Linked DNA regions of Lonchura striata. The protein of the gene in region 1 interacts with the protein of each later gene in a pairwise test. Links are inferred from orthologs where the notes say so. Each region holds a gene or a part of one and is shown in the gene's direction. Other genes may lie near its edges.

Evidence for each region.
Region 2: the proteins of rho guanine nucleotide exchange factor 11-like (region 1) and PLXNB2 interact in a two-hybrid assay, tested with the Homo sapiens proteins (2 studies listed by BioGRID). The link is inferred for Lonchura striata from reciprocal best matches to the Homo sapiens genes ARHGEF11 and PLXNB2.
Region 3: the proteins of rho guanine nucleotide exchange factor 11-like (region 1) and PLXNB1 interact in a two-hybrid assay, tested with the Homo sapiens proteins (2 studies listed by BioGRID). The link is inferred for Lonchura striata from reciprocal best matches to the Homo sapiens genes ARHGEF11 and PLXNB1.

The regions. Positions count from the first base shown.
Region 1 is NC_134635.1:3,775,953-3,786,812, forward strand, and holds the start of rho guanine nucleotide exchange factor 11-like, read left to right. Parts: upstream 1-5,909; 5' UTR 5,910-5,946; coding exon 5,947-5,978; intron 5,979-10,076; coding exon 10,077-10,171; intron 10,172-10,860. Other genes in the region: ETS translocation variant 3, read left to right, coding at 1-181. UniProt on the Homo sapiens protein: May play a role in the regulation of RhoA GTPase by guanine nucleotide-binding alpha-12 (GNA12) and alpha-13 (GNA13). Acts as guanine nucleotide exchange factor (GEF) for RhoA GTPase and may act as GTPase-activating protein (GAP) for GNA12 and GNA13.
Region 2 is NC_134607.1:30,342,046-30,352,412, reverse strand, and holds the start of PLXNB2 (plexin-B2), read left to right. Parts: upstream 1-5,997; 5' UTR 5,998-6,119; intron 6,120-6,430; exon of another isoform or gene 6,431-6,514; intron 6,515-10,367.
Region 3 is NC_134614.1:15,163,204-15,173,451, forward strand, and holds the start of PLXNB1 (plexin-B1), read left to right. Parts: upstream 1-5,878; 5' UTR 5,879-5,962; intron 5,963-10,248. UniProt on the Homo sapiens protein: Receptor for SEMA4D. Plays a role in GABAergic synapse development. Mediates SEMA4A- and SEMA4D-dependent inhibitory synapse development. Plays a role in RHOA activation and subsequent changes of the actin cytoskeleton.

The DNA.
Region 1 (10,860 bases):
GCCGCGGGAGTGGCCCGGCGAGGCCGGCGGCCAGGAGCGCCGGGAGGACGCCCTGATGCCGCCCAAGCTGCGGCTGAAGCGCCGCTGGAACGGAGATTCCCGGCAGGAAGCGGCCGAGGATTCCCGGCCCAACGGGATCTGGCACCTGCCCAAAGCCGTGGCCGCCGCCTCCGACACCTAAAGGCGGCCGGAGCGCCGGAGCCGGCCGGAGCGGCGTCCGTGTATTTATGTAGCAAGGTTGCCGAGCAGTTCGGGGTCCGGGCGGGGAGGGGGGCGGGCCAGGCCTGGGAATTTTTAGGGAATTTCAGGGGTGGGAGAAGGGAGGGGGGTGCGGGAAGCTTCGGGCTTTGTGTTGTTTCTGTTGTTGACTTGCAGGTGCAGACGCCGCAATTCCCGCTCGCTTTTCCCGGGAAAAGCCGGCTCCAGCTCCAGGACTGGCGCGGAGGAATTCCAGGCGCGGCCTCGGGGCCGCTCCCGGGCCTTTTGGGACACCGGGAATCTCCAGATCCGGGGACAGGGTGGGGGGGGATTTTTTTGGGATTTTTCGGGGTTTTTTTACGGATGAGAGGTTTTCCCGGCCATCCAGGAGCTGGTTTGGTTCTTCTTTTTTTTTGTTTTGGTTTTTTTTTTGGTTTTTTTTTTGGGAAAAGGAGGAGCTTGGGAATTTTGCATCGGGAATTTTGCACTGTCCACGGAGCGGGGCTGGGGCGGGGGGGAAAAGGATTCAGGAAAACTCTCGGAGAATCGGGATGGAGGCCGCGTCGTTCCCGGCGGATTTCCGGGGAAAATTCCCCTTTTCCCGCCTTTCTTTCTCTCTCTCTTTCTCTCGCAGAAGCCATGAGCAAAACTCCAAACTTTTTCAGGGAATGGGAACGGGAATAACACAAAATTAACCGGATGCCTTTAATCCTAACGCATTAAAAATGTTGGGGTTTGGTTTTTTTTGTTTCTGTGTGCCCGGAGCGGGGATTTTTTTCCCGCTCCGGAATCCGTGTGGGTGGAATTTTTGGGAATGCTTGGAAGGAGCGCTGGAATGATTGTGGTGAGTCCCGGGAACGCCGGAATTCCCGGCGCCATTCCCAGATTTTTGGACCCTCCCCCCCATTTTTCTCCCCGTTTGACTCATGCCTTAAAGAAAAAAAAAAACAAAAACCAACAAACCACGTTTGGACTTTTTCTGGGAATTTTTTCCGGGAGCGCTCGGATGTCGTGGATCCTTCCTGGTTCTTGGGGGGAAATGCCAAACGCCGCCGTTCCCCCGCGCAGCAGCGGAATTCCGAAGGCTCCGGCTTGGCTCCCAGCGGGATCGAGCCTCGGGAAGCGCCGGGAGCTGCCCAGGATTCGCTCTCGGAGCTCGGATTTTGGGAATTCCGGGCTGGGGGAGGAAATTCCCCGCCGGGATCCCGGGAGCGATTCCCAGATCCCAGCCCGGCCGGGCGTGGGACCCTTGGAATGTGCAGTTGGGGTGGAGAAGCCTTGGATGATCCCAAAAAACGCGACCGGAGAGGCGCCAGGACGAACTCAGGAATCACACGAGGGGCCTTGCCCGGAATTCCCGCCGATCCCAAATCCCAGCGCCGGAACCGTCGGGAGAAACAAAAACAAAAAACGGGGGGAAAATCCCGGATTTTCCCCACCCCTCCTCTCCAGTCCTTTGGAATCGGAATCCCACGGGAAGAGAAGGAACAAAAAAAAAAAAAAAAAAGTTGGAATTTTTGTGGCTTTAGAAAAGGATTTTTTGGGATTGGGAGTTTTTTGGGAAGGGTGGGAATGTCGGGGTTTCCTGTCACAGCCATTGCACTGCAAAAAAAAAAAAAGAAAAAAGAAAACCAAGATGAAAAGTGGAAATGAAAATAAAAAACTTGGGAGAGTTCAGGGAATTCCGGACTCAGGACGACGGATCCGGCGCCTCTCGGGAATTCCAGAATTCCCAACGGAGCCCGGGAGGAGGAAAAACAACGAAAAAAAAAGCAGGAAGAGGAGAAGGAAAAGGTCAAAAAAAAACCAAAACAAAACGAACGGATTTAAAGGAAAAAAACCAAAACAACCAGATCAAAATTTTGTGGAAAAAAATCGGAAGTTTCAAGGAAAAATTCCTAAAATTCCACCGTGCCAAACCATTGAACAACAAACAAACCCTCGGGAAGTTGGGAATGGTTGGAATTCTCTCCCGGATGAATTTGCCCCGGAGCATGATCCCGTTTTTTCCAGCAGTTCTTTTTTTTTTTTTCGTTAATTTTGCTTCTTTTTCGTAGCAAATCCGTAGGAAAAATGTTTAAAAAATTAAAAAATTAAAAAAAAAAAAAAAGACTTTTTGATGGGACAGCCCCAAACGGGGGGAATTTCTGGGGAGGAATTTCCCCGGAAAAGGAGGAAAAATCCAACAGCATTAATGGGGTTGTCCCGGATTTTTTTATTTATTCCATAATTATGTTGAGGTTTTTTATTATTTTAAGCTGTTTTTCCGTTGGTTTCTTTCTTTTTTTTTGCGTCTCAGCATCCTGGTGGGATTAAAAAGAAAAACCCAGGAATTTTCTCTCGGTTGAAATCATCAGAACTCCGGAAAAACTTTGGATTTTCCGGGAAATACTTTGATTTTTTAGCGCTTTTTAAACCGATATTTACGCTTTTGTTTTCGGGTTGATAAAACCCCTTTTTCGAGGGATTTCGAGGGATTTGAACTCTCCCCGGTGGGAATCCGGCAGGAATCCTTCGGGAAAATCGATGGAATTTGGGACGGGGAGCGTGGCTTTGTACATAGGGTGTAAAGTAGAGGGGCAAAAAAAAAAAAAACAAAACAAAAAAAAAAAAAGACAAAAAATCCGAAATTTGTGCCTTTAAAATTAAATTCCGATTTCTATAAAAATCAGATTTAAGAAAGGGTTGCATATATATATTATATATATATATGATGGAATGCTAGAGAAATTTATGGATAATATACATATTTTTTTCCAGGGGTATCCCATAGCTCCGTATTTTGTTATGGAAGTTGAAAAAAAAAAAAAAAAAACACGGAAAAAAGGAAAAAAAAAAGCGAAAAATAAAAGTATTTTACCTCGAATTCAGAACGTTAAATAAAAACCTTTTAACAGAGAGGCGCCGCTGCTTTCTTTGGGGCTTCTCCCGGGGTTTGGGATTTTTGGGAAGGGATTCCCGGGATCCCGGAAATTCCCCAGCTCCCGCTGCTTCTGTCTTTGGGGTTTTTGGGTGTCACCAAACCCTCAGTGTCCCCAAACCCTCAGTGTCCCCAAATCTTTGATGTCCCCATGTCCCCAAGTTCTCAGTCCCCATGGGTGTCCCCAAATCCTCACTGTCCCCAAATCTTTGATGTCCCCAAATCATCACTGTCCCCAAATCCTCACTGTCCCCAAATCATCACTGTCCCCAAATCTTTGATGTCCCCAAATCATCACTGTCCCCAAATCCTCACTGTCCCCAAATCATCACTGTCCCCAAATCTTTGATGTCCCCAAATCATCACTGTCCCCAAATCCTCACTGTCCCCAAATCTATGCTGTCCCCATGTCCCCAAATGTTCCCTGTCCCCAAACCCTCAGTGTCCCCATGGGTGTCCCCAAATCTTTGGTGTCTCCAAATGTACGCTGTCCCCATGTCCCCAAATCTTCCGTGTCCCGAAATCCTCAGTGTCCCCAAACCTTCCCTGTCCCCAAACCTTCCCTGTCCCCAAACCCTCCCTGTCCCCAAACCTTCCCTGTCCCCAAACCCTCCCTGTCCCCAAACCCTCCCTGTCCCCATGGGTGTCCCCAAACCCTCCCTATCCCCAAACCCTCCCTGTCCCCAAACCTTCCCTGTCCCCAAACCTTCCCTGTCCCCATGGGTGTCCCCAAACCCTCCCTGTCCCCAAACCCTCCCTGTCCCCAAACCTTCCCTGTCCCCATGGGTGTCCCCAAACCCTCAGTGTCCCCATGGGTGTCCCCACACCCACACTGTCCCCAAACCCTCCCTGTCCCCAAACCCTCCCTGTCCCCATGGGTGTCCCCAAACCTTCCCTGTCCCCAAACCCTCCCTGTCCCTGTGTCCCCAAACCCTCCCTGTCCCCAAACCTTCCCTGTCCCCATGGGTGTCCCCAAACCTTCCCTGTCCCCAAACCCTCCCTGTCCCCATGGGTGTCCCCAAACCCTCCCTGTCCCCAAACCCACACTGTCCCTGTGTCCCCTCCCTGTCCCCGTGTCCCCCACACCCGAGGTCTCTCTGTGTCCCCGCGGGCGGGGCCGGGCCGGGGATCAGAGCGGCCCCGGGGCTGTGCGGGCTGAACGAGCCCGGGGGTTGGAGCTGCCCCAGGGCCGGGGTTGGAGCTGCCCCGGGCCGGGATTGGAGCTCCGGTGCCGGGGTTGGAGCTGCCCCAGGGCCGGGGTTGGATCTCCCGGGCCGGGGATTGGATCTCCGGGGCCGGGGTTTGGAGCTCCGTGGCCGGGGTTGGAGCTGCCCCGGGCCGGGGTTGGAGCTGCCCCGGGCCGGGATCGGAGCGGCCCCGGGGCTGTGCGGGCTGAACGAGCCCGGGGGTTGGAGCTCCGGGGCCGGGGTTGGAGCTGCCCCAGGGCCGGGGTTGGATCTCCGGGGCCGGGGTTTGGAGCTGCCCCGGGCTGGGGATTGGAGCTCCGGGGCCGGGGTTGGAGCTGCCCCGGCCGGGGTTGGAGCTGCCCCGGGCCGGGATTGGAGCTCCGGGGCCGGGGTTGGAGCTGCCCCGGCCGGGGTTGGAGCTGCCCCGGGCCGGGATTGGAGCTCCGGGGCTGAACGAGCCCGGGGATTGGAGCTGCCCCAGGGCCGGGGTTGGATCTCCCGGGCCGGGGATTGGAGCTGCCCGGGGCTGAACGAGCCCGGGGATTGGAGCTGCCCCGGCCGGGGTTGGAGCTGCCCCGGGCCGGGATTGGCGCTGCCCCGGCCGGGGATTGGAGCTCCGGGGCCGGGGATTGGAGTTCCCGGACCGGGATTGGAGCTCCGGGGCCGGGGATTGGAGTTCCCGGACCGGGATTGGAGCTCCGGGGCCGGGATTGGCGCTGCCCGGGGCTGAACGAGCCCGGGGATTGGAGCTCCGGGCCGGGGATTGGAGCTGCCCCGGGCCGGGATTGGAGCTCCGGGGCCAGGATTGGAGCTGCCCCGGGCCGGGATTGGAGCTCCGGGGCTGAACGAGCCCGGGGGTTGGAGCTCCGGGGCCGGGGATTGGAGCTGCCCCGGCCGGGGATTGGAGCTCCGGGGCCGGGATTGGCGCTGCCCGGGGCTGAACGAGCCCGGGGATTGGAGCTCCGGGCCGGGGTTGGATCTCCCGGCGCCGTGGGGGCCGGGCCGGCCGGGATTGGCAGCAGCCCCGGGCCGGGATTGGCGCTGCCGGGCCGGGGCTGGAGCTGCTCCCGGGGCTGGAGCTGCTCCCGGGGCTGGAGCTGCTCCCGGGGCTCTCCGCAGCCCGGCCCCCGCCGGGAGGGGCCGCGCCCCAGAGCCGGGCCGGGCCGGGCCGGTACCGAGCGCTCCCGGACCGGTACCGAGCGCTCCGGGCCGGTACCGAGCGCTCCGGGCCGGGGCTCGCTCCGGGCCGGTACCGAGCGCTCCCGGACCGGTACCGAGCGCTCCGGGCCCGGCACCGAGCGCTCCGGACCGGCACCGAGCGCTCCGGGCCCGGCACCGAGCGCTCCCGGACCGGCACCGAGCGCCCCGGGACAAGCACCGAGCGCTCCGGGACCCGCACCGAGCGCTCCGGGACAAGCACCGAGCGCTCCGGGACCGGCACCGAGCGCTCCGGGCCCGGCACCGAGCGCCCCGGGACCGGCACCGAGCGCTCCCGGACCGGCACCGAGCGCTCCGGGCCGGGGCTCGCTCGGGCCGGGGCTCGCTCGGGCCGGGGCTCGCTCGGGCCCCGCGGCCGCCGGGCCGGGGATGGTGGCGGGGCCGGGGCGGCGGCGCCGGGCCCGGCCCTGAGGGAGCCGCGCCATGAGCGTGCGGCCTCCGCAGGCCCCGGACAGGTACGGCCGGGGGGAACCCGGGGAACCGGGGCTTGGGGAAACCCGGGGAACCGGGGCTTGGGGGGGAATCCGGGGGAACCCGGGGAACCGGGGGGTTGGGGAAACCCGGGGGAACCCGGGGTTTGGGGGGAATCGGGGGAACCGGGGGGAACCCGGGGTTTGGGGGGAACTCGGGGAACCGGGGCTTGGGGGGAACCCGGGGAACCGGGGCTTGGGGGGGAATCCGGGGGAACCCGGGGAACCGGGGGGTTGGGGGAACCCGGGGGAACCCGGGGAACCGGGGCTTGGGGAAATCCGGGGGAACCGGGGGGTTGGGGGAACCCGGGGGAACCCGGGGAACCGGGGCTTGGGGGGAACCCGGGGGAACCCGGGGTTTGGGGGCAAATCGGGGGAACCAGGGCTTGGGGGCGAATCGGGGGAACCCGGGGCTTGGGGGGAAATCGGGGAACCGGGTCTTGGGGAAACCCGGGGGAACCCGGGGCTTGGGGGGGAACCGGGGGAACCGGGGCTTGGGGGAAATCGGGGAACCGGGGCTTGGGGAAATCCGGGGGAACCCGGGGCTTGGGGGAAATCGGGGAAACGGGGCTTGGGGAAATCCGGGGGAACCGGGGCTTGGGGGGAAATCGGGGGTTTGGGGGGAACCCGGGGGTTTGGGGCTGTGGGAGCGGGTGAGGGGTTTGGGGGGAAATCTGGGGGTTTGAGGGAACCCGGGGGTTTGGGGGGAAATCCGGGGATTTGGGGCTGTGGGAGCGGGTGAGGGGTTTGGGGGGAAATCTGGGGGTTTTGGGGCTCTGAGAGTGGGAACGGGGTTTGGGGGGAAATCCGGGGGGTTTGGGGGGAAATTCGGGGGTTTTGGGGTGAAATCCAGGGGTTTTGGGGCTCTGGGAGCGGGAACAGCGTTTGGGGTGAAATCCGGCGGGTTTGGGGTGAAATCCGGGGGTTTTGGGGTGAAATCCAGGGGTTTGGGGGCTCTGGAAGCGGGCGCTGGGGTTTGGGGTGAAATCCTAGGATTTTGGGGCTCTGGGAGGAGGCTCCGCTGCTCCGAGAGCTGCCAGGGCGGTCCTGCGGGGAAAAGCAGCAGTTTGGGGTGAAATGCCGGGATTTGGGGTGAAATCCTGGGATTTGGGGTGGTTTGGGGTGAAATCCTGGGATTCGGGGTGAAATGTCAGGATTTGGGGTGTTTTGGGGTGAAATTCTGGGATTTGGGGGCTTAGAGGAGGGGGCTCAGCTCATCCGGGACTCCGCACTTGGTCCCTGTGGTGTTTTGGGGTGAAATGTCAGAATTTGGGGTGAAATGTCAGGATTCGGGGTGAAATGTCAGGATTTGGGGTGAAATGTCAGGATTTGGGGTGTTTTGGGGTGAAATTCTGGGATTTTGAGGCTCTGGGAGGGGGCTCCGCTCGCCCTGTAGCCCTCACCCCATTCCTTAGGGGGAAAGACGGGAATTTGGGATAAAATTCCAGGATTTTGGGAATGGTGGGACTCAGCCCATCCCGTATTTCCATGAATCCCTCAGGGGAGCAGCGTTTTGGGATAAAACTCCCGGATTTGGGGAGTGGGGGGGAATATCCCGAACTTCCCTGATTTTTGGGATATTTCCAATATCCACCACCGGGGATTGGCTTTTTCCCAGTTTGTTTGGCTCCATTTTACACCAAATTTGGGGATTTTTTTTGGTGGGATAAACCCTTGGAAAACCCTGGAGCTTTTTCTGGGATAAATTCAGGAATTTGGCCGAGAATTCTTGGATTGGGATCTTTGCTCCAGCCACGGCATTTCCCACGTGGATTTGGGTGGGAAATGAGGGATTTGGGGGCCTGGGAGAGAGGCAGATCCCGGGAATTTCAGGGATCGTTTTCCCACCAGATCCTGGGGATTTTTCCTGCTTTTCCCAGCCCAGAGAATTCCAGGATTCCCTGGGCTGGTTCATTTGGGATTCCAGGGCCCATTCCTGGATCCTGCCCAGGTTATTCCATGGATTCCCCATCCCTGGAAGTGCCTCATCCCGGGGATTTCAGGATCCTCCCAGCTGCGAATTCTGCGGGAATGGGGAGAGGATCCCCCCGGGACAGGGAATTCCAGGAGCCGGAATTCCGGCCCAACCAGCTCTGCCACTTCCCACTTCCCCAGGAGCGGCTCCGTTAATCATTACCCCGCCGGGAATTCTTCCTGGAGAATTCCCGTGGAGAATTCCCGAAAAAAAACCCCGACCAACTGAAAAACAAAACGGGAAAAACTCCCGTTTTCCCAACATTTGGGATCGCTCCGGACGGTGGCGTTCCGTTGGGATCCCCTTCCCAAAAAAGGCTTTGGGATTCCCAGCTGGAAAATCCCATGGAAATCTGGGATAAATCAGGGTTTCAAGCGGGAAAAATGGGGAAAAAACCCGTTTCCCAACATTTCTGACCCCTGGCCTCCTTCCCATCTCTTCCCACAGCAGGATTGGAATTCCCAGCTGGAAAATCCCATGGAAACCAGGGATAAACCCGGGTTTAAAGCAGGAAAAATGGGAAAATATTCCCGTGTTTCTCCGGTCTCTCCGTGGTTTTCCTGGTGTTTTTCCAGGGAGAGCAGCGGAGCCGCAGCCCCCGGCAGGGAGGGAACCAAATGTTGCAAATCCGAGGAGAAATTCCAGCGGGATCCAAACTCCCGGAATTCCTCCCAGGACTCGGCGGCCGCCCTCGGAATGTGGGAAAGCAAAAACTTTCCCTGAGATCCCGAGTTTTTTGTTAATTTGGGAATGGAAGGCCAAAGTTGTGTGGGAAAGGGGTTTGGGAATTCGGGTTTGTTCCCGTGAAATTCGGTGGCGGCTCCTCGGAGATCCCGGATTTCCTGGGGGACATTCCCAAAAAACAACCCGGGAATGAACGGCAGGGTTTGGGGTTGAGGGAAGAGCCGGGAATTGCGGCTTTGTCCTGCAGCATTCCCGATAAAAACACTCGGGAATTTTCTGGGAAGAGCCCTCCAGGTCCTCCCAGCTGCCCCTGGAATTCTGCTTTTCCTTGGAAAGCCACGGCGTGGTCAGAAAAGTCGGAAAATGGGATTTCCCCCCTTTTTTCCTGCTTTCAACCCTGGTTTATCCCAGGTTTCCGTGGGATTTTCCAGCTGGGGATTCCAAACCTGTCTCCGGAGGGAACCCGGTGGGCAGAAATGTTGGGAAAAGGGAATTTTTTCCCATTCCAAGCTTCGGTTTTTTGGGAATTTTGAATTTTTGGGACTTGGGAAGGGAGAGCGGGGCTGGGTCCTTCCGGAGGTGCCGCTGGAATGGGAATTGTGGGAATTGCCCTGGCTCGGCCGCCCCCGAGGCAATTAAGGAGCTTTAATTAAGCCGAATTAAATGACTTTTTTATAGCCTCGTTAAGCCCTGGCTGCTTCCAGAGGGGCAGGAGAAGCCTCTGGATCCCTTTGGATCCCCTGGCTGGGATTTGGGCATTCCTGGAATTGCGGTTTTGAAGGAAAAGCGTCTCGGGAATGCCGCGGATCCCGGAATTTGGGGATTTTTGGGAAAAACAAGAGATTTTGGGTGGATAAAAAGGGCTGACCTGGGCTGGGCCCTGGATAATCCCGAGGGTTAATCCCGATTTTCCTGCGGATTGGCCGGGAATGTCCAGGGCAGGGCCCAGCTCTGCGGCTGCTCATGGAAAAGGGGCTGGAAAATCCTGAGGGGCTTTTCCAGGGATTTTTTTCCTTAGGGGGAGCTGATCCCGGAGAAAAGGGGGATCCAGGGGGAATTTGGGATCTGCCAGGGGAATTTGGGATCTGATCCCAGGGGGGATTTGGGATCTGATCCCAGGGGGGATTTGGGATCTGATCCCAGGGGGATTTGGGATCTGCCAGGGGAATTTGGGATCTGATCCCAGGGGGATTTGGGATCTGCCAGGGGAATTTGGGATCTGATCCCAGCGGGGATTTGGGATCTGATCCTGGGGGGATTTGGGATCTGATCCTGGGGGGATTTGGGATCTGATCCTGGGTGGATTTGGGATCTGCCAGGGGGATTTGGGATCTGCCAGGGCTCCTCTCCGGCTCTCTGGGGGTGACCGGGGGTCGTGTCCGGCGTTCCCCAATTCCCGAATTCCCCAATTCCCGAATTCCCAGGCTGAGCGGCCTCTCCTCGGCCCTGGGCGATTCCCCCTCGGAGCGAAGATCCCCCGGCCACGGCCGGCAGCCCTCGGACGCCTCGGAATCCACAGGTGGGAACTGCCCGGGAATTCCGGGAATTCCGGGAATTCCGGCACTCAGCGTCACTCGGGGTCACTCATTGGTCACTCAGGGTCATTCAGGGTCACTCATTGGTCACTCGGGGTCATTCAGTGGTCACTCAGGGTCATTCAGGGTCACTCATTGGTCACTCGGGGTCATTCAGGGTCACTCATTGGTCACTCAGGGTCACTCGGGGTCACTCACGGCCAGGATGCGGATCCAGACCTTCCGTTGGGATTTGGGGTCCCACAAGGGACAATGCAGTGACCACGAGGCCAGGGCTGGACAATGGGTGGCCACAGGGGCTGGAGGTCAGGGCTGGACAATGGGTGGCCACAGGAGCTGGTGGCCACAGGGGCTGGAGGTCAGGGCTGGACAGTGGGTGGCCACAGGGGCTGGAGGTCAGGGCTGGACAGTGGGTGGCCACAGGGGCTGGAGGTCAGGGCTGGACAGTGGGTGGCCACAGGGGCTGGAGGTCAGGGCTGGACAGTGGGTGGCCACAGGAGCTGGAGGTCAGGGCTGGACAATGGGTGGCCACAGGAGCTGGAGGTCAGGGCTGGACAGAGGGTGGCCACAGGAGCTGGTGGCCAGGGCTGGACAGTGGGTGGCCACAGGAGCTGGAGGTCAGGGCTGGACAGTGGGTGGCCACAGGAGCTGGTGGCCAGGGCTGGACAGTGGG
Region 2 (10,367 bases), on another chromosome or scaffold:
ATCTCTCATGAGCAGCAAAATGTTCAGTATGTCTAGCAGGATGCCATGTATTTATCTTCCATGTTGCTCATGAGGAAAAGCAGCTTTAGCAAACCTACATGGGGTGACAGGCTGTGTTAAGGAACAGAAGTTTCCCGTTCATTACCCCATTCCATCTCCTCCCTTTGCCAGAAGCAGGTAAGATGTGATTTTTCTACCAATTTCATTGACATGAAAATAACCACTCCTAGAATCCGGGCTAATGAGCTAGAAATGTACAAGAACAAAAAAACTGCTCAACACCTTTAAGTGTGGACACTGAAATGCAGCTATTTGACATGCTGAGCTACAACAATGGCACATGATTTATTGATTAGTTGCCATTACATGAGGGAAGCTCCACTCATCATTTAAAATACACATATTATCTTGGAAATCTTCCTTTGAATAAAAAGGTAAAATACAGCTTCTGTCATAGTAGTCAATAGTTTAATTTTCCTTCTTAACTGAAGTGTCATTTGACGAATTCTGAAAGGTCTAAATATTTTTAAATTACAAATGCTTCTTTAATCTTGTTGTACCATCTTAAACTCCGATTATTTAAGCTGCATTCTAAACTACTGTAGTTCAGACACACTTCAGTACTATAAACATAAATTTTCTGCAATATACATTTGGAAGATACTAATCATGCAATATTTGAGGTTACGGATGTAAAAAGATGCATTATTTCCAGCACAGAAGAGGTAAATCTCATTTTCCACTTTTGGACAGAACACTGTAATCGTGAACTCTTATTTGTAATTGTCTTCCCATAGGCTACATCTCCGTGATAAAATTAGTTCAAATATTAGTAGATAATGATATTATTTTTATAAAAATAATTATTTTTTCTACAATATAAATATATATATAGAAGCATGCCTGGCAGATAGCTTATCCAAATTCTTTAACCAGTTGTGGAATTACCAATACCACCAAGTGTAAGTATGTTGGCTCTGGTTAAAATGAATGGCAGAGCAATGGTTTCAGTGTTTTGCTAGGCAGCAAAACAAAGTCGGACATGCTGGTTTGTCCGGTTTATATACATACAGATGTGTGTGTATGTGTGTTTGTGAAGGGCTTATTTAAACAACAAAAGAAGGGAATGAAATGGCAAGGCCTTTTCTATTTCTTATTTGTTGTTAATATTTTATATTAATTCTCATTTTACCTACTTTTGAAATACCAATAAACTTCCTGATGGAAAATCTTAAAAATTTTAATTATTATAAGTTTTTTTAAATTGAAATGTCTTCAAAAATTCAAGATCACTTTAAAAAATGCAAGCATTGCCTATATGAACCTCTTCATTAACCAAGGATCTCTTATCAGGCTCACACACAGCCAGGTGCAACCAGGGCAATGTCAGAACATCTAGTCTTGACTGCAAGGGCTGATACTTGTAATAGTTATGCATATGCATACAGCTACTGCACATATCCATATAAGGCTTTCTCTGGATTCCACCTGGAAATTGTATCCAGAGCACCTGCTGCTTTTTTATCTCATACCTTTGTGCAACAATTTATATCTATAAAAAGTATATGTAAAACTAAAAGAAAAATTTTGACGAGGTAGAATTTTGCACAGGAGTAAACAAATGTATCAAGTGAGTGTTGGTTAAGAAATACCAAAACCCACTTGCTCTGGGTGGATCAAATATTTTCTAGCATCAAAGGAAAAAAAAAACATGAAGGGAATTGCACAGTTAACCTTAGCTAATTTCACCCCTAAACATTTTTTTTTCTGGATTGTTGGAAAATGGACACTGAGAAATCCATCAAGCAAAGAATAACCCCAGATATTTACAAATTGATCTGCCATGTGAGCTTGGTGCAAAGGGCATGAAAATCAGGCTGTGCACAGTGACATTTCACAAATCTAATAATAACACCTTAGATTTATCTGGCATTTTTATACAGAAAAAGTAGATCCCATGGTGATTTATGGACTGTAAAAATATAAATATGTATATTTGGGTTTTTTCAGTCACTAGGAGAAGATGCAATGCCCTCTCCAAACCAGAGACATCAAATGGAGAGTGAAAAATCCTTACAGATGCTCTGTTTATATCTTTGCCATGAGACTAAACCCATTCAGGTAGTATCCTAGTTCTTGTGGTTTTTTGCTTTCCCATTATTGATAAAAATTTCTTACAAAGGATGGTGGCAGCAGGAGTGCTAGGGCAGGCTGAATCTCAATGGTTGCCCAGTACAGCTGATGAATTGCTGCTTAATGAAGAATATTTTTTTCCCCCTTTCTTCCCCCTCACCCGTCAGAAGAGAGTTGAGACATGGGACATCCCCAAGCAGGATGTAATTTCCGTGCAATTTTGAAAATTGCACAGAAAGTGCAATTTCCAAAACTTTAGAAAGGATTTTATGTTCTTTTTTAGCTGTTTTGGTTGCTCCCAGGTTATCTCCATGACCACAGGGCAACAGCCTTCCTTCCTAAAGACTGATAATCAATCATCTGACTCTTTATCTGCCCATCAGCCCCTCATAAAAATGTCAGAACACATTGGCTAGCTGCAAACAAATGAATAAAAGAGGTAGGAACCTCAAAGATAATTAAGTTCCTAGGGATTTGTGAGCATCAGCGACTAGAGGCTCAAATTAGTGTTCCAGCAGGGAGAGGTGAAGGCGGAGCGGGGCCGCTCGGGGCGGTGCTCGGCAGCAGCCGCGGCCCGGCGCGGCGCGGCGCGGGCAGCACGCGGCGCTCCGGACCGCAGAGAGGAGCGCTTCACCTCGGACACGGAACACAAACGGGAGACCAGCCCATCGCAGCGGGTGGGTCAGCGACGAGACCACAGGAAACCTGGCTTCATTAGCTCTGTTGATCATGGAACAAGGTGTTTTTTAATGATAGCAGCTGAAAATTCCGCTCTTTTCCACAGGCCTTGAAGGTCTCAGCAGTAGGAACGATTCCATCTATGGCTGCATCTTGGAAAAGATTCAGAACCGACGGCACAAAGAAGAGAAGCAGGCAGGGAAGAGGCACAGGTGTCACCTTCAGTGCAAAAGAAAATAACATGCAGAAAAAAAAAAAAGAAAAAAATCATGAGGATACACGTAACAACAAATGGGTGATAACAAAGAAAGGAGAGACAGACGGGATGCAGAAGAAGGAAATAAAGAGGAAATTGAAATCTAGACTAGAGTTCTATTCAAACACAGCTCTGTCATCTGTGTCCTGAAGCTGGAGAGGGAGGGAACAAAGCATTCTGCCCTGAGTCACACCCTGTGCATGTGCATGACTGCAGTGAAGATCCCCAGGAGTCTGGGAAGCTGTTAATCATTCAGTCCTTTACTTGTTGCCCTTCTCTAAGCATCTCCGCATTTAGGATTTGATGTGACCTCTTTTCTTCTTTTTCTTTTTTGTTGGATAATGCTAAGGGAGGGAATCAATCTTTCAGTCACAAATAGCAGGTTTTGATGTGCAGCTGTTTATCTAGGTTCACTGGAGAATATCTCCCTGTATCCCTTCTCCATGGGTCAGAAGGATGGTGTGCTGGTTGCAAGAAAAGGAAGTGCAGAAGACCATCTTTGCAAGTGGACCAAGTGCTGAATTCAGCATGGACTTCACTAACCATAGTGCTGTGGTGCACATTTTTGTCCCAGCTGGCAGAAGTGCAAGTCAATATGCCACACTGCTGCTTAGGACATCCAAATGTGCCTGGCAGAACAGCAGCTTATGGAGGGTTAGCAAAGAAGATGGCTATCCTGGGGTGGGATGCTGTGTGGCCACCTCAAGATCTAGATCAGTTTCATAATCCCGGTCACACTTGCAAGGTCAGGTGCACAGCAAGGGATTGTTAGGAGCTGCCCTTCCTTTGAATTAAAAAAAAAAAATAAAAATTGTCAGGAGGCCAGAGCAACAGGAGCTGAACAGGAGCAGGAGGAAACTATTCTGGCGAGAAGATGTGTTGTGAGCTGGGAGGGGGGCAAGGCTTAGATTTAACTTGGCTACAGTCACCTTGAGACAGCAAAAGTGTGGCAAGTACAGTCCTGGTCAGTGGTCATCAGATGGAGCAGATGTGGGGTTTTCCCCAGAGTAGGGAAAGCAGATCATTAGGTTTGGAGCAGGCAGGGTAGGGGGAGGAGTGACAGAGACCCCAGCAAAAGGCCCTGGGGCAGAGCATGATGGAAGGCAGAGATTCACTGCCCTGGGCACAAAGAGAGCTGCCAGGCTGGTAATTCCAGGGCATTCTGCCAAAACTTAGGGTACAATCTGGCCAGAAGCCCAGATGTTGTGAAAGCAGCCTGGAAAGTCAGGTGTTACCAAGCCCATTAGCAGCCTGTGAGTTTCTCCTTACTGGATTCCTCACAAGAATTGCAGGACATGACTAATTCACTTTTCCTAGGGAAGTCCCATCTCCCTCTTCAGATTCCCTCTCTCCTTTCCAGTAAGTGAAGAGGTACAGAAGGGGAATCCAGACCTTCTGAAACACTAGACCTGTTCTTTCTTATCTTGCAGTGACTAAGCCCAGTCAGGTGAAGAGCAGGAAGGAAGCCAATAAAAAAGGACAAGGGCCTTCTGGTGGAGGTTAGCACAATAACTGGGCCAGACTGGCAAAATTCACCCAGCACAGCCTGCCTCCCCTGTGCAAGCCCAAAGGGAAAACCCCACAAAATTCTATGGCATGTTTGAATAGTCCCAACCCACTGTTAAGTCTGCAGTGGCACTTTGCACAGACAGGGTCTGAAAGCCACTTTTAACATCTCTTCCAAAAGTGCAACTATTCTTGCCCAGGGTTTTGGAGCTGTTTTTTATTTATTTTGTATCTCTTGCTGTTTTGAGATGCAAAGGTAACTTTTCAGCAACTTCCTGTTTGGGAAGCACGGCGTATAGACCGGCTGTCTCCTGGTGTTTTAGTAGGGAGCACAACGCACACAGCATTTAATGAAGCTGCACTCAAAGTGCCAAGAGCAGTAAATTCATTTCTCCTTGAAACATTGCTGGTCCACATTTCACTGATGGAAAGTTACAAAGTATAAACATCCTGACCAAAGCTTACCTGAGCCATTCTTCTAAGACATCCCTCCTTTCAATAGATTGTCTCTACATTAGCTATAGTTGAGACAAATTTAACATCTGAACGTGCAGATGATGATGCTATAGCACAGTGATGCTGCGTTCACAACAGGTGGGAAGTGAGCTCTGCAGTAACTGTTGATCTGTTTCTGGGGGAAGGCATGAAAACTTTGCACACAGGCTTTTTAGTAGAGTGCTTGAGCAGAGAGAGAACGTGCAGAAATTGTTTTTGCAGAGGATTTACCTATAGGGATAAACCCTAGAGTACTTCGAGTTCAGTAAAAGTGATGCCAGTGACATATTCTGGGCCCCTCATCGATAAGGGTGTACAAGAAGGGAGGAAGCCACTGGGTGCTCAGAGACTCTGCTCGGGGGATAAGGGATGGGAATTACAATGTGCCTTCGTGTTCAGGAGCGTCCCCAGAACACCACCGGGATCCGACAGGTCCCGCAAGGCTGTTAGGTACAGAGCAGCAGGCAGCCCCTTTCCCAGCGGTACCGCCGTCCCGCCGGAGAGCGCCGCGGAGGCCGAGCGCCGACCCCGGCCGCGGGCAGAGGCTGCCCAGAGGCAGTTCCCGGCCGTCCCGCCGCTCCCCGCTGTTCACCCCGAGGGCCCCCGGGCGGCCGGGGCTCGGTGCCCCCGGCGCTGGAGCTGCAGCTCCCGGCCTGGCCCCGGTCCCCCGTTGGGGCTCGGAGCCCCCCCGGTTCTCCGGGAGCATTCGGCCCCGCTTCGCCGAGCTGGCCTCTGCCTGGCTGGCGGGCAAAACAAAGCGGAGACAGGGAAAGGAAAACGGGGAGAAAGTGCGGCTCCTGCCGCCTCCCAGCCTTCTGCCTGGATCTCCCTGCATGAGACAGCGCTGCAAGCGGATCCTGACCGGGGGCAGGGGGTGGAGAGAGGAGAAGGAGGAGGACGGACAGAGGGAGGGAGGGAGAAAGAGAGGGAGGGAGGGAGAAAGGGAGGGAGGGAAGGAGGGACGAACGGGAGCCTCTCTCCTTCCCTGGGCTGTTTTTTTCAGTTTCCTGTCTCGCATTGTGCTCACAGCGGATATGTGCTGCGCCTACAGGTGTGTCCCCTCCTCGCAGCTTTTCCCCGGCTCCCAAGCGTAGGCTCTGGCTGTCGGGGCGCGGCGGCGGATCGTGACCGCCGTGTGATGATTATTTCTCTCGGGGCGGTTTCTCTCTCCTCTCGCTCTCTGCTTCCCCCTCCCTCGCTCCCCGCCGCTCTCGTCCTTCCTCTCGGAGGTGGCCGCAGCCGCTGCCGCCTTCGCGCTGACTCCGGCCGCGGTGGCGGCGGCGGCGGGGCCCGCCGGGAGCATGGGCGGCCGCCGGGGGCTGCCGTAGCGCCTCTGTCCAGCCCACCGCCGCCCGCCGGGGGCTGCCGGGGCCGCGGCTGCCGCTCGGGCAGCTCGGACGGTCCGCGCCCGCGGCTGCCTCCCGCCGGCGCCTGCACCTGTTGAAGGTAACGCAGCCCCAGCCCTGCCGCCGCGCCGCGGGATGGGGCGGGGAGGGGGGGAGGCGGATTCCACGGAGACTTCCCTCTGTCTCCCCCAGCTCGGGAGCTGCTGAGTTGTGGCTAGAGCAGCTTCTCTCCTCCTCGGCTGCGGGGCCAGGGCCGGGGATAAGCTGAGAGCTGGGGCGGATGGGGCTTTCTACCGCGCTGCCCGCGACCAGATGGTTTTGGTTAAAGGGGCTCCCGGGCGGCGGCTCTGGACTCGGAGCGCCTTTCTCAGCCGCCGTGCAGGGCGGGGAGGTGGGGGAGGCGCGGGGAATCTGCTCCTCCCGGCCGGCAGCCGGGGAGCGCCGGTGTCCGGCGAGCTCCCTCCGCCCCACTCGATGGAGCCTGGCTGCTCTTCCCGGGAGTTTCGCAACCCCGAAGCGGCCGGGGTCAGCAGCCCCGATGTCGCGGCTGGCACTGGCCCGGCGCCCACCCCGCGCTCCGCCTGGGCGCTGCCGACTCGGGAACTCGTTTGGGATTTTCCTGCAAACGCATTTTGTCTCTTCGCAGAGGCAGCTTTAAACTTTCTTTCCAAACTGTTAATTAGATACACTGTACTTTGCTCATGTTCCGTGGAGGCGAATGGGAGTGCGAGGCTGGAAAGGCTTGTGACTCAAGGCATAGTTATTCGGGAGGTGCAGAACATCTTTGCGTGCTGCGTTCAGATGGGCTGTACCTGTAATTTGTGACTTTGCCTTCTCCGAGATTTCGTCGGTCTTGGTGACATCGGGAGGCAGAAGGGATAGTTAACACTTTGGGTCCTTTCGAGGTTAATCAGACACTCGGTTGAATATACAAAGGAGGAAGTGTATCTTTATCTCCTCTCTGATGGAAAATAATATTGCTTTTCTCTATGAGTAACAACACTATGGTCCTGTCTTTATTGCTGAGCTCGTCATCAAATGATAACTTGCTCGTAAAGGAACTTACGCTTTTGGAATGAAGGCTGTTACCTTGAATGTGATGATGAGCTTATTGAACACCAGAGGGAACTCTGAATAGGTAATTCATTCGAGGGAGATATATGCTTATTTTACTGTTTATGTTCTCATTACAATGGAATCTAGGAGGAAGTAAAGGTTGGTAAGTAATGAGCTGCTGGTATGTACCTAGGATTGACTTCAGTTTTCTTAACAGTTCTTTTCAGAAGACATCGATTCTAAATCTGGCCTGAAAAAAAATCTTCTTTTTTTCTTTCTTTCTTCCTTTCTTTTTTTTTTTTTTTTTTTTTTTTTCCCTCCAAAGCTTAAAATGTGCAACTGGTCTTGCAACAACTATGTACCATGCTATATGCAAATCAGCTGGGAGACCTGTTCACTATTTGCTAGGGAGTGAGATTATACATGCATGTTGGGCTGATGCTTAATGCCCTGCCTGCCTCTCAGGTTGTGAGACAGATCCAACACACCTGGGTACAGGGGCTGCTGCCTACAGTCGATATACAAGAATAGAATATGCTTCCAGCCAAAACAAAAGGGAGGAAGGAAGGAAGTCTACTTCCAAGTAGCCTGTCTTGTCCTCCTTACCTAGAACACTTGTGGATCTAAAGCCTAGTCTGATTGCCTGTGAAGTAGAAAATAGTCTTTCTTAAAAGATATGACTTTAACAAATACAGAAATGAAATGGTGTCAGTGTTTAGGAAAGGAGTTTGAATGGTGGCTTCTGGTACCAAAAGCTGTTTAAATCATTTGAGATTATTGTAAGAAGCTATGGTCAACCTATCAAAATGTGTTTTGTAGTAACATGAACCCCAAAAATTTGCAATTGGCTATTGAGACTTTGGATGCTTGTGATAGTCTGTTACAACAATGTTGATAAACAGTCTTCTTTGATACTCCTGAATTGTCAAAGACATGGGAAGGATAGCACAATGAATACACTTTTGACTCTGACATTTGCTCCAGAAGCTGATGCATTCAGCTGTTCATCCTGTCCCTTTGCCAGAGGTTAGTCGGCCATTCAGGGTTATTTTCTATTTAACTTTGAATCTGAGTTTACAGACAGGCATATGAATGTCAACTATATTTTATGGCTATTCATATTAGTGTTGTGAAGTCTGATAACACAAATCTCCTGTATATCTCTCTGTTGTGACAGAGGGACAAAGCAAACACTTGAGGTCAGTTGAATTGAGCTGCAGTTGTGAAGCATAGTCCATAGGCATCTAAATTCTTCTGAAATAGCAGGTGTGAGCCCAGTGACCTTCCTTGTACCAGACCTTGGTGGGCAGTGGTAGTGGGGAGGCAGCTCTGCATAAGGAGAGGCTGTGTGACCTCCGTTGGTTGGTGAGCAGCACACAAGGTTCTGGGTTTCAGAAGGATGTAGTAGATGGTGTACCTGAACAGCCCTCTCTTCCTCTCCTTCTTCCAGTCTAGCAATCAGAAAGTGATCCAAGTTTTTTTGTTGATTTATCAAAGTCTTTCTTTGTTTATCTGACTTGAGGACTTGTTATGTAAAATATCCTCACTAAGGGCATGGCATTACTCTGCCTGAATTTTCTACAGATGATATTGGAAGTTGGATAAAGGCTTTGTATGGCTTTATAAAACTCGGAGTTGTTTGCTTTGCATGCAGATGATCACTAAGGACAAATTACATTTTGAAGGGAGACCTCTTCATAAATGCCTGTTAAGAAAAAAATTGTTGCAAATGGGTTTGGATGCTGGCTCAGTTTTGAGAAAAATATTTGCACGTTTATTTATTTATTTTTATGAAGATGTAATACTAAGCATTTATATTTTTGTAATGGCTATAATTTGGAAATTTTCATATAGTTTTAAATTATTTATTGTATGAAGCACTGAATGAAGATATTTGTTGCACTGGTGTCACATTCAGAATATTGAATTACAATTGTAAAATTAAGGTAACAAGCTGAAATTGGGGTTTGCAACTTCAAGCTCTTGCCAGCAAGCAGTTAATGGCAACATTAACTGCTAGAAAAGTAATTGCTACCGTTCTTTTACTGTCATTTTGTTCTCACTCTCCTCCAGTCAGCCTGTTCCACAGAGATATCATGAATATTCACTGAAATATCTTGGCATTGTCACTTATGCAATTTCTCATCAGATCCAATGTGTTGATGAGCTAATGTGCACTTGATTAAATGTACTTGATTTATGCAAACAAAAACTCTAGGTCCTTCTTGAAGTAAAGTTAGCACCTGTGCAGCTATTAGTGAGATGAGAGTCTAAATAATTATGATGAAATTAAGTAAACAAACAACCTCGATATGGTATCCCTCCTACTCCTCCACTTTTACTTTTTTGTTCAACTCAGTAGTGGATATTTATTTTGGCTTTTCTTGCAGGTTTTCTTATGCACCATAGGAAATTTTTAAGCTCAGCTTATCATGGAGGGTCTATTTAAGTGGCTTAACAGTGCAAAAAGGTCTCTGTCTATAAAACTGATAAGACTGATTTTTATAAAACTATAAAAATCTGGCTACAAAAAGAGGCCTGGAGTCCTTGCCCTCTGCTGCTCTGGAGGCAGCAGAGGACGGCTGGAGGAGGGAGAGGACACATGCTTGCCCAAGCCCTGGTGCAGCCAGCCTGACTGGAAAGCTGTTCAGGGGATCTTGTGGACTTGGGGCTTACTTTCTTTAGGCAGATAGGAATTGAGTTATCTGCTAAACTCAAGTATTTCTGTTATTGTCTCTGGAGTTTAATCTCTGGAAATATATAACTTTTGGAGCTCTCCGAGTTTCCATCTCAGGTGGCTGAGGGAAGACTTACTTGTTCTTGTAATGTCTAAAAGTGTCTGTACTTAATAAATGTTACTAATAATTATTAAAAAAATCTCAGCATCACCACGATGG
Region 3 (10,248 bases), on another chromosome or scaffold:
CTTTGGGAAGTGCCACTGCTGATTTATACATTGATTATTTGGAGTGTGAAGTGAGTAAGAAACATCTGTCAGGGAAGCAGTTTGATCTGCTGGCTTCAGAACTGGGGTAAAAATTCCTATACACTTATCTGTATCAAGAAGTGTGCATACAGATCAATAGAATTTTTCAAATCCATAATATTTCATTTTATCATGTCACAAATATTTTACAGGTTATATTTCTTTCAGGAGCTTGATGAAAATCAGACAACTGTGTAGTTAAAGGGGAAGGACTAGTACAATGGTTCTATTTGTAATTTGCCACACTAGTCACTGAAAATTTTGTTCTGGCTTGGGATTTGGGATATTTTGTCAATTTAACTACATAAACTTGGCCCCCCTTACTATAACTGGCTGATTTTTTTATTTGACATCACTGAAAATGTGGATTATATATATCAGCACGGGTTTTAAATGCTGAAGGTTAGGCAGTTAAACTTGAAAGTCAAGGAGCACTCACTGAATTGTACTTGATGGCATCAAAAACAAGCAGAGGTCTGAGGCTAAACTTGTGTACAATAAATGAGAATACAAAACTGAGGGCTGTTTATTGCTCTAAAGAAATCTGCTTTTATCCATTTAAAGAGAGTATTATGAAGGTCTGTAGCTTTAACTCTATGTATAGTTACAGGAAGAAAAAGTCAGTCAAGGACTGTTATGAACAGTCAATGAAGAGTAGCAAACAGATCTGTAATAAATGATTGTTTGAAATAACACCTGAAATTTGAGAAGAGCTGGAAGGTATATCTATCAAGATGAAAATAACTGGTCATTTGTAGGAAGTTTCAAAGACTCAGGAACAGATCCTGTGTGCAGCTGGCTGAGTTCTGTGTTACAAGTAATTACCATGGCTCACTTAGTTCTGCTCTTCCTTGCTAAATCCTCCTATGTGAAGTGACAGCAGAATAATTTCAATTAGGGAAAAACCCTTGTAATTAACTGTGACTATATAATAATTAGGAGACAAGATTTATGTATTCCCTCAATCCTGGATTAATCATCACTCCATTGTGGCAAAGATCTAAATGTGTAGCTTGGTACTGCAGTGTATGTGCACCCCAAAGCCAGAAGGTGTGGCTGCAGCAGTGGCAGCTGTACCTGAGCTGGCTGAAGGCAATATCCAGGAAGATGCTATAACATGGACTAGATGTATAATCTGTTTAGTACTTTGTGCTAAATCTTTGTCATGGTAACACAGGCAGCAAATACATGAGTTTGAACAAAACCAGCACAGCTGTGTAGGGGGTATTTACCTGGGCACTCACCTCAGTTCAAGTACATTTATAGCAGATTTACACAAGCACATGACATCTCAGTGCATGTTTCCTGATGATTCAGCCAGGACTAACTGAATGCCTGTGCTCTTCAGGTCTATTCTAGTAAAAACTAAGAAACAGAACAAATAAAAAACCCCAACACACACACCAACCTGCATTCTGTTCTTCTGTTGCATACCTTTGGGTTATTAAAAAGGTTTATAATAGATAGCTGAGTTTCCCTTTTGGAATGAGGTCTCTCAGCAGATCTTTTCTTCAATTAGTAATTTCTGCTTGCTAAGGCCTTTTGAGACTTGAATTCTTACTCTGTGAGCAAAGACCTCTCTAGGCAGGATGGTTCAGCCAGCCCTGGGCCCCAGTGCTCATCCGAGGGGGATGGTGGTTGCAAAATTATGTACAGGACTGGTGAGGCCAGGGACTGACCTGGGTGCAGTGGGTAGGTCAGAGGAAGCCAGTGCTCATTCAGATTAGTTCCTCTGTCAGGCCAGACACAGAAGCTGAGTTAGGGAGAACCTGGTAAGAGCAACAGGAAGCCCTTTGATAGATATTAACTATAGAAAAATGGGTGGCAGTGGCCTGAGCTTGGCCTGTGCTAAGCTATTTTGGGTTCTTACTGCTCCTTGAGAAACCACCAGTAACTCAAAAGCAAACAGCTTGTGGCTATGGAAATAACTTTGAATGAGGTCACTGCAGACTTCTAACAGTAGGTGCATTCTGAAGAGAAAAGTTGCCCTTCCTTCCACTCATGAGAGAACTAGAAAATGTTGCTTAAGAAGACAGGACAAAAGCAGATGTAATGTAACAATCAGGATATATATTTATTTATTAATACTTCCAGTTTGAATGTTCCAACATTGTAGGATCCTGGTCGGAAGTTGCAGGTGCTCCTGTTGATTTCTTTGTTTGTTTGGAAAAGACAGTTCCTTTTACAACATTCCCTCTAAAAACAAATACTTCCCTCTTTGTGGAGCATAGGAGTAGTAGAGATGTCCTGTTTACCTCAGGAAGAGGTTTGAGATTTGCTGTAGGAATGAGGTTTGTGAGCTAAGAAAAGGCAGACAATGCTGGATTTGTCCACATTATATTTAGAACTGTATTTTATTGCTGGATTTTTGCTAGCAAGTTACATTCATGACCTCACTCATAAAGCACAGAGAAGTGAGATTTCTGGTGCTTGGCATTGGATAATCTGAGAAGGTCTCTGCTTAAACACAGCAGCAGAACTCCAAGATAAAGGGATTGCCACAAGCGTCCCAAGCTTGTTTTGCTGTGTTCTGCAGGGAGAAGGCAAACCCATGCAAATATGTGTGTGCTCAAAGTCTCCTGCTCTATCCCTGCAGGTTCTGGGGTGTTGGCTATTTTTTGTACTCAAAATCAGATCCTTAAATATCAACAGGCTGCTGCCAGCAGATCTGTAGGTACCCAAATCACCATAACAAATACCTTAATGCTGTTTCTAAATATTCTGACAACTGAAAGCTTGAAAGGAATGGGGTCAGATATGAAGTAGGGTAGATGTAGCTAACCTTCAGCTGGTCCCTGAATTACTGCTCTAAATACACTTCATTCCCAGAAGCTACAGACAGTATTCACATATCCCTTGTGACTTTCTAAACTTGTCTCATCTCCTGCTTGGAGGGGAGGAAGAGTAGGAAGGAAATCAAAAGGAGCATAAGCAGCTGCTTGCCTTGTGATTATTGTAATAGTTATGAAACAAACTTAGCTAACCTGCTTAGAACCAGACATTAACAAGAGTTTTTACAGAAAAGGATCCTTTAGGGATTTAAATATACTAAAAGCAACACAACAAAACAAACCTGAACAAATGGAAAGAAAAAATTTTTTCACTTGTTCCTCAAAATGTTTGTTCTTTGTGTGACACCATTTTCACAGCTGTATAATGTTTGAGAAATAGCTTTTCCTCCAGGGTTTGATTGGTTTGTTTGGGGTTTTTTTTTAAGAACTGCAAAATGTTTGTGCAGACTGATAAAAACTCTTCCCAGAAGGGGGAATGGTTAATCCCACAGTGGTTTTACAACACCCTTGTCTCTCAGAAGGGCTGTAGGAGGGGTGGGAGGGGGGCACTGTAACATCCCTAAAGTGCACAGGAGTTCTTCTTGCCCTGCTCCCAAGGCAGGCCCTATATCCAGTTCCCTGCCAACCCTGCCATGGGACAGAAGGAAAAGCCTCTCCTTTCAAATGTGCTCTCATAGGGGGTTTTGCTGTTTTTTAAGTGAAGCTTGCAGATGTTTTTTACCAGACAGAAGGGGCTGCAGGTTGGGACTGGCTCTGGAGAAAATGCACAAAGCAGATTAGTGTTTTGAGTCAGGAATGGGTTGGAGCAAAGAAAAGTTAGGAGATTTTTTTTTTTTTTTAATGCTCTTAGTCACCAAAACTGGATTTTGGCAGATGCATTTTAAGTGCAGTTAAATTGTGTCTGATTGGTGAGATGATAATTCAGTGAGCTCTAAGCTAAAGAGCATTTCAGTGAGCAGGGTGTGGTAATAGGATGGCTTTTTCTGTGTTGGGGGAAGAACAAGTAAGGGATCATCTCCTCAGGGGAATCCTCATGGGCTCTGCATACAGCATGCTCCAAGGACTCTTCAGCATATTGAAGGGCCAAGGAGCAAAGGTCCAGAGAGGCAGCCAGTAGTTGCCTCTGAAATAATCCTTTCTTTGGGAGACCATGATCATGCTGCCAGATCCTGGGGATTGTTCAGCATCTCTAAGCTTTCAGACATATTTTTTCCTTCATAAAATTTGGGGGCTGGGAGTAAGAGAGACTGATGTATTGTAACAAAGACAGTAGATGTTTAATGACACTTCTGAACGTGGGATTTGTACCAACTACGTCCCTCTGAAATGTCAGAAATGAACGTGGGAGGAAAGACCGATTCAGACTTTCAGAGCAGCATTATGTCTTCAATGGAGATTTGTAGCTTCATCTACAGCCAAAAAGGAGAAGTGATGGGCACCCCAGCATAAGGCAAATTCTGTACTTTGCACAACCCAGGCCAGTGCACTCTTCCTCAGTTTCCTTTTACCTACAGCTCTTGAATCGCTTCTTCACATCCTCAGAGATGTTTTCTTTCATCCACACAAAATTTGTGGCTGGGTGCTTAAGGCATAACTCCATCTTTTGTCTGGGATTGCCAAACATCTGGCAGTCAGCTCAGCAGGCAAATGACAAGTACTTACAGGCAGTCACTGCATGTATAGCAAGTCATTTGTTAGACTAACTGTATATTCGCTGATCAACAACACAGCAGAGTACAGCACATCTGGGAAACACAGAAGTTACAGTGTGAGTGAGAAAAATGGGAGCATTAATTCTGTCCCTCTGTAGAACTGTTACTGACAGAACTTACCCCTAATTCAGAGAGAGGATTTTATGCAGTCAGTTCTCAGCGGTAAGTAATGCCTTTGTCTCTTACACAGAGCACCAGCCTCTGCTCTGCCCATAACTGGAGCTTCCAGCTTCACAGGAATAAAAATCACAAAACCAGCAGTCAGTTTATATTACACATATCACTTCAGGCGCTTCTGCTTTATGGTGCTTTTGTCTCCACCGACTTTCAGCTGGAATGGTATGTCCTTCGCTGTTTTGCAACTAGAGATAACTATGCTTTTGTCACATTCTTCCATTTCGCTCATGTGCTGGTTCCCACATGCGCTGCAAACGGGAGCTGGGCTGTGCCTCATCCTCCCGATGCTGTGTGTGTAGGGGGACAAACTGGGTTTGCTGTCAGGTTTGCTGTCAGGTTTGCTGTCAGGTTCTGCTCCCTGTGCCCCTGCCCGCTGCAGCTCACCCGCACCTCTCGGCTGGGGAGAGCCGAGCACAAAGGCTTGAGAGCCTAACTGCAAAGTCACATTGCTACAAACGCGGAGACGAGACAAACGCTGCCATTTCTTCCAAAATACGCAGCTTTATGCCCAGCTCTCATCCGCGGCGCCGCGGACTCCTCTGGCGCAGCGCTGTGCACTCGGGCCGGCCGGCAGCCGCCGCTGGTTGTGGCGGCAGCGTGCGGAGCAGTGTCGGTGCCCGTGCCTCGCTTGGTGCCGGCGGCAGGAGCCGGGGGCAGGAGCCCCAGGCGGGAGCCGGGGGCAGGAGCCCCAGGCGGGAGCCGGCAGCGGGAGCCCCGGCGGGAACCGGCAGCGGGAGCCGGCAGCGGGATCCCCGGCGGGATCCCCGGCGGGAGCCGGGAGCAGGAGCCCCAGGCGGGAGCCGGCAGCGGGATCCCCGGCGGGATCCCCGGCGGGAGCCGGGAGCAGGAGCCCCAGGCGGGAGCCGGCAGCGGGATCCCCGGCGGGATCCCCAGCGGGAGGCGGCAGCGGGAGCCCCCGGCCGCCGCCGGCCCCGGCGCGGGGATCCCGGGCACGGCCCGGGGCGCGGAGCGGCCGCTGGCCACGCCCCCTCCCTGCGCCAGCCAATGGGGTCTCGCCGCCGGCCGCGTGCCGGGAGGGGGCAGCCGGATCCTGCGGGGCGGGGCCGCCTTGGGGGCGTGGCCTCGGCGGAGCGGGCGGCTGCTATTGGAGGAGCGCGGCGGGGGCGGGGCGGCCGGCGGGGAGCGGGCGGGGCGGGCGCTCCGCGGCTCGGTGCGGGCAGCGCTCGGCGGCGGGAGCGGAGCGGGGCGGCCGCCCGGCAGGTGAGGGGCGGCGGGCACCGGGGCCGCGGGCAGGGGAGAGTGGGCGGCTGCTGCCGCCGCGCCCGGCCTGGAGCGGGGAAGCGCTGCCGGGGGTCAGCGGCCGGCGGCAGGTGCCGCCCGGGGACCGCGCTTTGTCTCCGCGTGGGGGGATGGGCGCGGCCCCTCCGGAGCGGCGGCGCCTCCCGGGCGGGGCGAGGGGGCTCCGGTGGGCTGGGAAACTCCCCGCTCCTGGCCGCCCCCCGCGGCGGGCTCTGCGGGGAGGAGGGCGGGGGTCCCGCGGCTCCGCGCCCGGAGGGGCAGCAGGAGCGGGCGGCGGGGCTGGCGAGCCCCTCCGGCGGCGGTGGCAGTGCCGGGATGCGGGGAGCAGCGGGACCGGGCGAGCCCCCCGCGGCCGGGGACGGCTCGGCGGGAGGCGGCACCGCGCCGGGCAGCCCGTGCGGCCGCGCTGGAAGAGCTGCCCGGCCCCGGCCCCGCTCCTCGGTGCGCACTGCTGGGTAATTCCTGCCGGTCGGAGAGCTCGTTTTCCACCTTGAGCGCATTCCTTTCGAAAGAGTTTGCAGCAAGTGTTTGGGCCCCTCTGAGCAGGTGTGTTTTGTGTTCCAGGAGTTGCAATTTGAGATCTTTATTTTTTTAAATCTAAACTTTCTGTGACTGCTGTTTTATCTCAGGGAGCAGTCTGGAACAGGAGTAGTCCTGGGAGAGTATGTGGAGTGCTGCTCTAGTTACAAAGAGGAAGGGGCTTACAACCCTGCGTGTTGTAAAACAGCGGGGTCAGTATTTTACTTAAACAAGTGCTCTATTCTGTGCAAGGCTGAATGTGATGTGCTCATTTGTGACCTCACTTTTTGAACAGGGATCACAGAAGTGCTCTGCCTTGTGTATGAAATGCAGAAATCGATGACTTATGTTAATGATGTGTCTGTGTGACATCGGGGAGCTAAGCCAGTGATGGAAGCATTCCCCCTGATTCAAGGGGAAGCTGATGCACTGAGATGTTTTGCATTGTAATGGGGAAATTGGTGTTTCCCCTTACTACAAATGGGGCATGGAATTTCACAGGTTTTAATAAGGTCACTTTGAGAGGCCAGCAATGCCTAGCAGAATCGCAGGAGAAGAGAGCAAACAAGTTATGGATTGAGAAGAATCTGGCAGAGAAGGTGACTTGTAGGTAGTTTGGTGCGGAGCAGACTATTTCTATGCACATCCACACCTGTGTACAGCTGAGCCAGAATCTGTAAGCCAGGGACTTGCCCTGAACTGAGATTTGGCCAGAAAGCATTTACTATAGCGCAGTCATATATGGAATTTTCTCTTTAAATTTCTTCCTAACACGTGAAAAGAGTTAGGTTAGTAATACGATTAACAATATTTAATAAGATTAAAATCACCAGCATAACCCTTGAGAAAGGTGGGTGCAGACTGTCAGCAGTTGACACTTTTAATCTCTGCTTTCTCTCATGTGAATGCTGTAAAGAGTTCAGGCTCCAAGACTCTGCTTGCTTTTCAGAACAGAAAAATTCTGCCCTCGCCTGCTGACAGCTCAGGTATTGCCTTACCTTTCATGTCCACCAACAGCATCATATTCCCAGCGGGGCCACGGGATGTTCCCATATAAGGGCAGAGGGAATAGCTGACAGAGGGCTGTAATGAGTGTGCAGAGCTGTTCCCTTCAGTGCCAGTCTTTGTGTGAAGCTGGGTTGTTGCTGGAGTGTTCCTGCTGCTGGCACGCTTGGGTTTTCCTGGCGATGCCAGCGGAGCCTGTAGGGACTAAACGAGTCTGAAAAGTATCTGTTGCTGCCGAAGGTGGCCCCGTGAGCCTGCAGAGAGGCTGCCTGCCAGATTAAGCAGTGCCAGTTGTTTGTTGGGTGTGCTCTGCAGGAAAAAGCACCCACCCAGGTTGCCTGTGTGGGGTGTGTGCTATCCAGCGCTGTCCAATAGAAGACAAAAGTAATTGCACTTTCTGTCTTCCACTCTTGCTGTTTGATTTCTGGAGAGTTTCTTTAGCCAAAGATGGGTATAGGGAAGCATGATGTCTTTTTCAGTGTACGTTTCAGTGTCTGCTAGAGAGGGAGAACAACAGACGAGGACAAGTTCAGAAGAAGATGAAGCAGCCACTCCCCAGAAATACTTGACATTTTTTTCTGGTAAAAGCTTTACTGCTGAATTGGGTAGTTTGACATTATTTCTCTTCTCTCATCTTTTTCTCTGTCTCTGTCCTTCCTGCTGCCTATCAAAGCAAACTCACAAGGACATCAGTTTCTTCTCCTCACTGACAGCTTCTCCATCTGTTCTGTTTTTGTTTGTAGCTGTTGGTTTTTTTCCTCCTGAAACTTCAAATTGTTTGTTGTAGCCAAGTTGTGAGCTGAACCCTCCCAAACTTGCATAAGGGCATCTTGGAGGAAGATGATAGGACTTTGATTCATCCCAGCTTGGAGGCTGTGCAGGGTGGTAGCAGGCAGAGGAGGCATGAGCCTGCCTGCTTCCTTGTAAGAATTAGCCCTCTAGATACAAGCTAGTTTCAGGAAGCAGGGCTTGGACTGGTGCCCTTTTTGCTCACCTGGATCTTCAGTGAAACGTCTTTGTGCTCTGCGTGCTGGGATCTGGTGTGTTCTACTGACTCTCCTTTGCATTCCCTATAATCTGTTAAAGCCCTGGATTTGATTTGCATTTATTTGTTGTTCTTGTGAGTATCTGATTGCAGGATTACTGTATCTGAAAGGATTCATCTTCTGCTGTTCATGAAAACCACAGGAGGGCTGCTTTTGCCTTTATGGGAATGTGCCAGCTGGTCTTTCATTGTGCTGGTATCATTTTCCCTGTCCTGTTACTGGAGGCGTCTTTGACCTGATGGTTGTGATGATGTCTTTAGAGAAGATTCATATTGATCATTATTTGAGCTTTGTCTGGTTTCATCTCAGTGCTGGAAGACAATTCCTATAAATTCTTACATGTGTTTTTCAGAAACAAGTGATTGAGGCAGTGGGAGCACGTGCACAGTCCCGTGACACAATACCACTGTTCCGGAAAGCAGAGTAGATGCTTAATTTAATTGGGAAACAGTAAACTCACGTGTTGCACTGTCTTTACTCCAGCACAGTGGCAAAAGCCAAAGGACCTTTCCTGGTGGCACACTGCATCTGGGAGACTCTCTAAAATCAGCATGGAGGGGGTTTTGCTACCTGCATTTTTCTCTGGAACCATGAAGAATCAGCCTGCGTGCTGTGGTTTGCCACAGCGATAACTGAGATGCTCCCCTGCTTAATAAGCTGGCTGGGGTTGTAGTTGGAGCTCAGACTTGCTAAGCTGCAGAGGTGCAAAAACACGAAGGAGGATGTTCCAACCTGTACCAACACGCAGCCCTGACTAATGGGAGAACCACAGTGCTTTGGTATGAGCTCTCTGCCTCTTCTCCCCAACTGCTTAAGTAATAAATGCAGAGGACTTGTTTTCACTGCTAATAATTTTTTTCTGCCAAGTAGTAACTAAGACATCTGAGCTATTCTGAGGTTCCAGGAAACAATTTAGGGTTGTTTTTTTTTTGTTAGCTAGAACTAAGTGCTGCCTCCCAATGCTTGTGAGGGAAAGAAAAAAGAAGAAACAAATGGTTTCAGTTTAGGTAAATTTTTTTGTTGTTAGTTTGTTTTGTTTTGTATTTTTGCCTTGTTTTTGTTTATTTTTGTGTTGTTTTGTTATTGAATCAATTTTAAAATAGTTTCTAATATCCTGAATTTAATTTTAGACCTTCACTTTCAAGTCCTGCCTGCCGATCGCAAGCAAGAAAAAGAGGGGTAAAGGAAGTAGAAAACAAATTTATGGTAGTATAATCTCATTTTAGATGTTGATCAAAATGTGAAATGAATCTTTGAATGAAACAGATCATAAGGGAATGTCCAGATTGCAGACTTTAATTGAATGGGAACTTTAGTGATGTGATAGCAGTATAAAAGCTGCAAGTACTGTTAGAATCACTTCTTCTGTGCCTGGAAAACGTGTGAGATTTTGCTTTGCTTTTGGCTCTGAAGTTTAACTGTGGAACAGCCTGGAAATGTTGAGTTTCCCTAGCCTCTGCTCTACACCAGCGCTGCTGCTCTCAAAATTGTTGCAACTTCATAGCTACTCCCTTTTGGAAAATGATAATTCACTTCCCTTCTTGAAGTATCCGAATGCTGTAATTTTATCTTGCTACTTGTATCTATTCCTGGTCTATCCCATGTGGGAAGTCTCTCGTCCTTGTGTCACAGGCTGTAAGGGAATTGATCTTTGCTTCTGGTGGTGGTTTAGCTGGG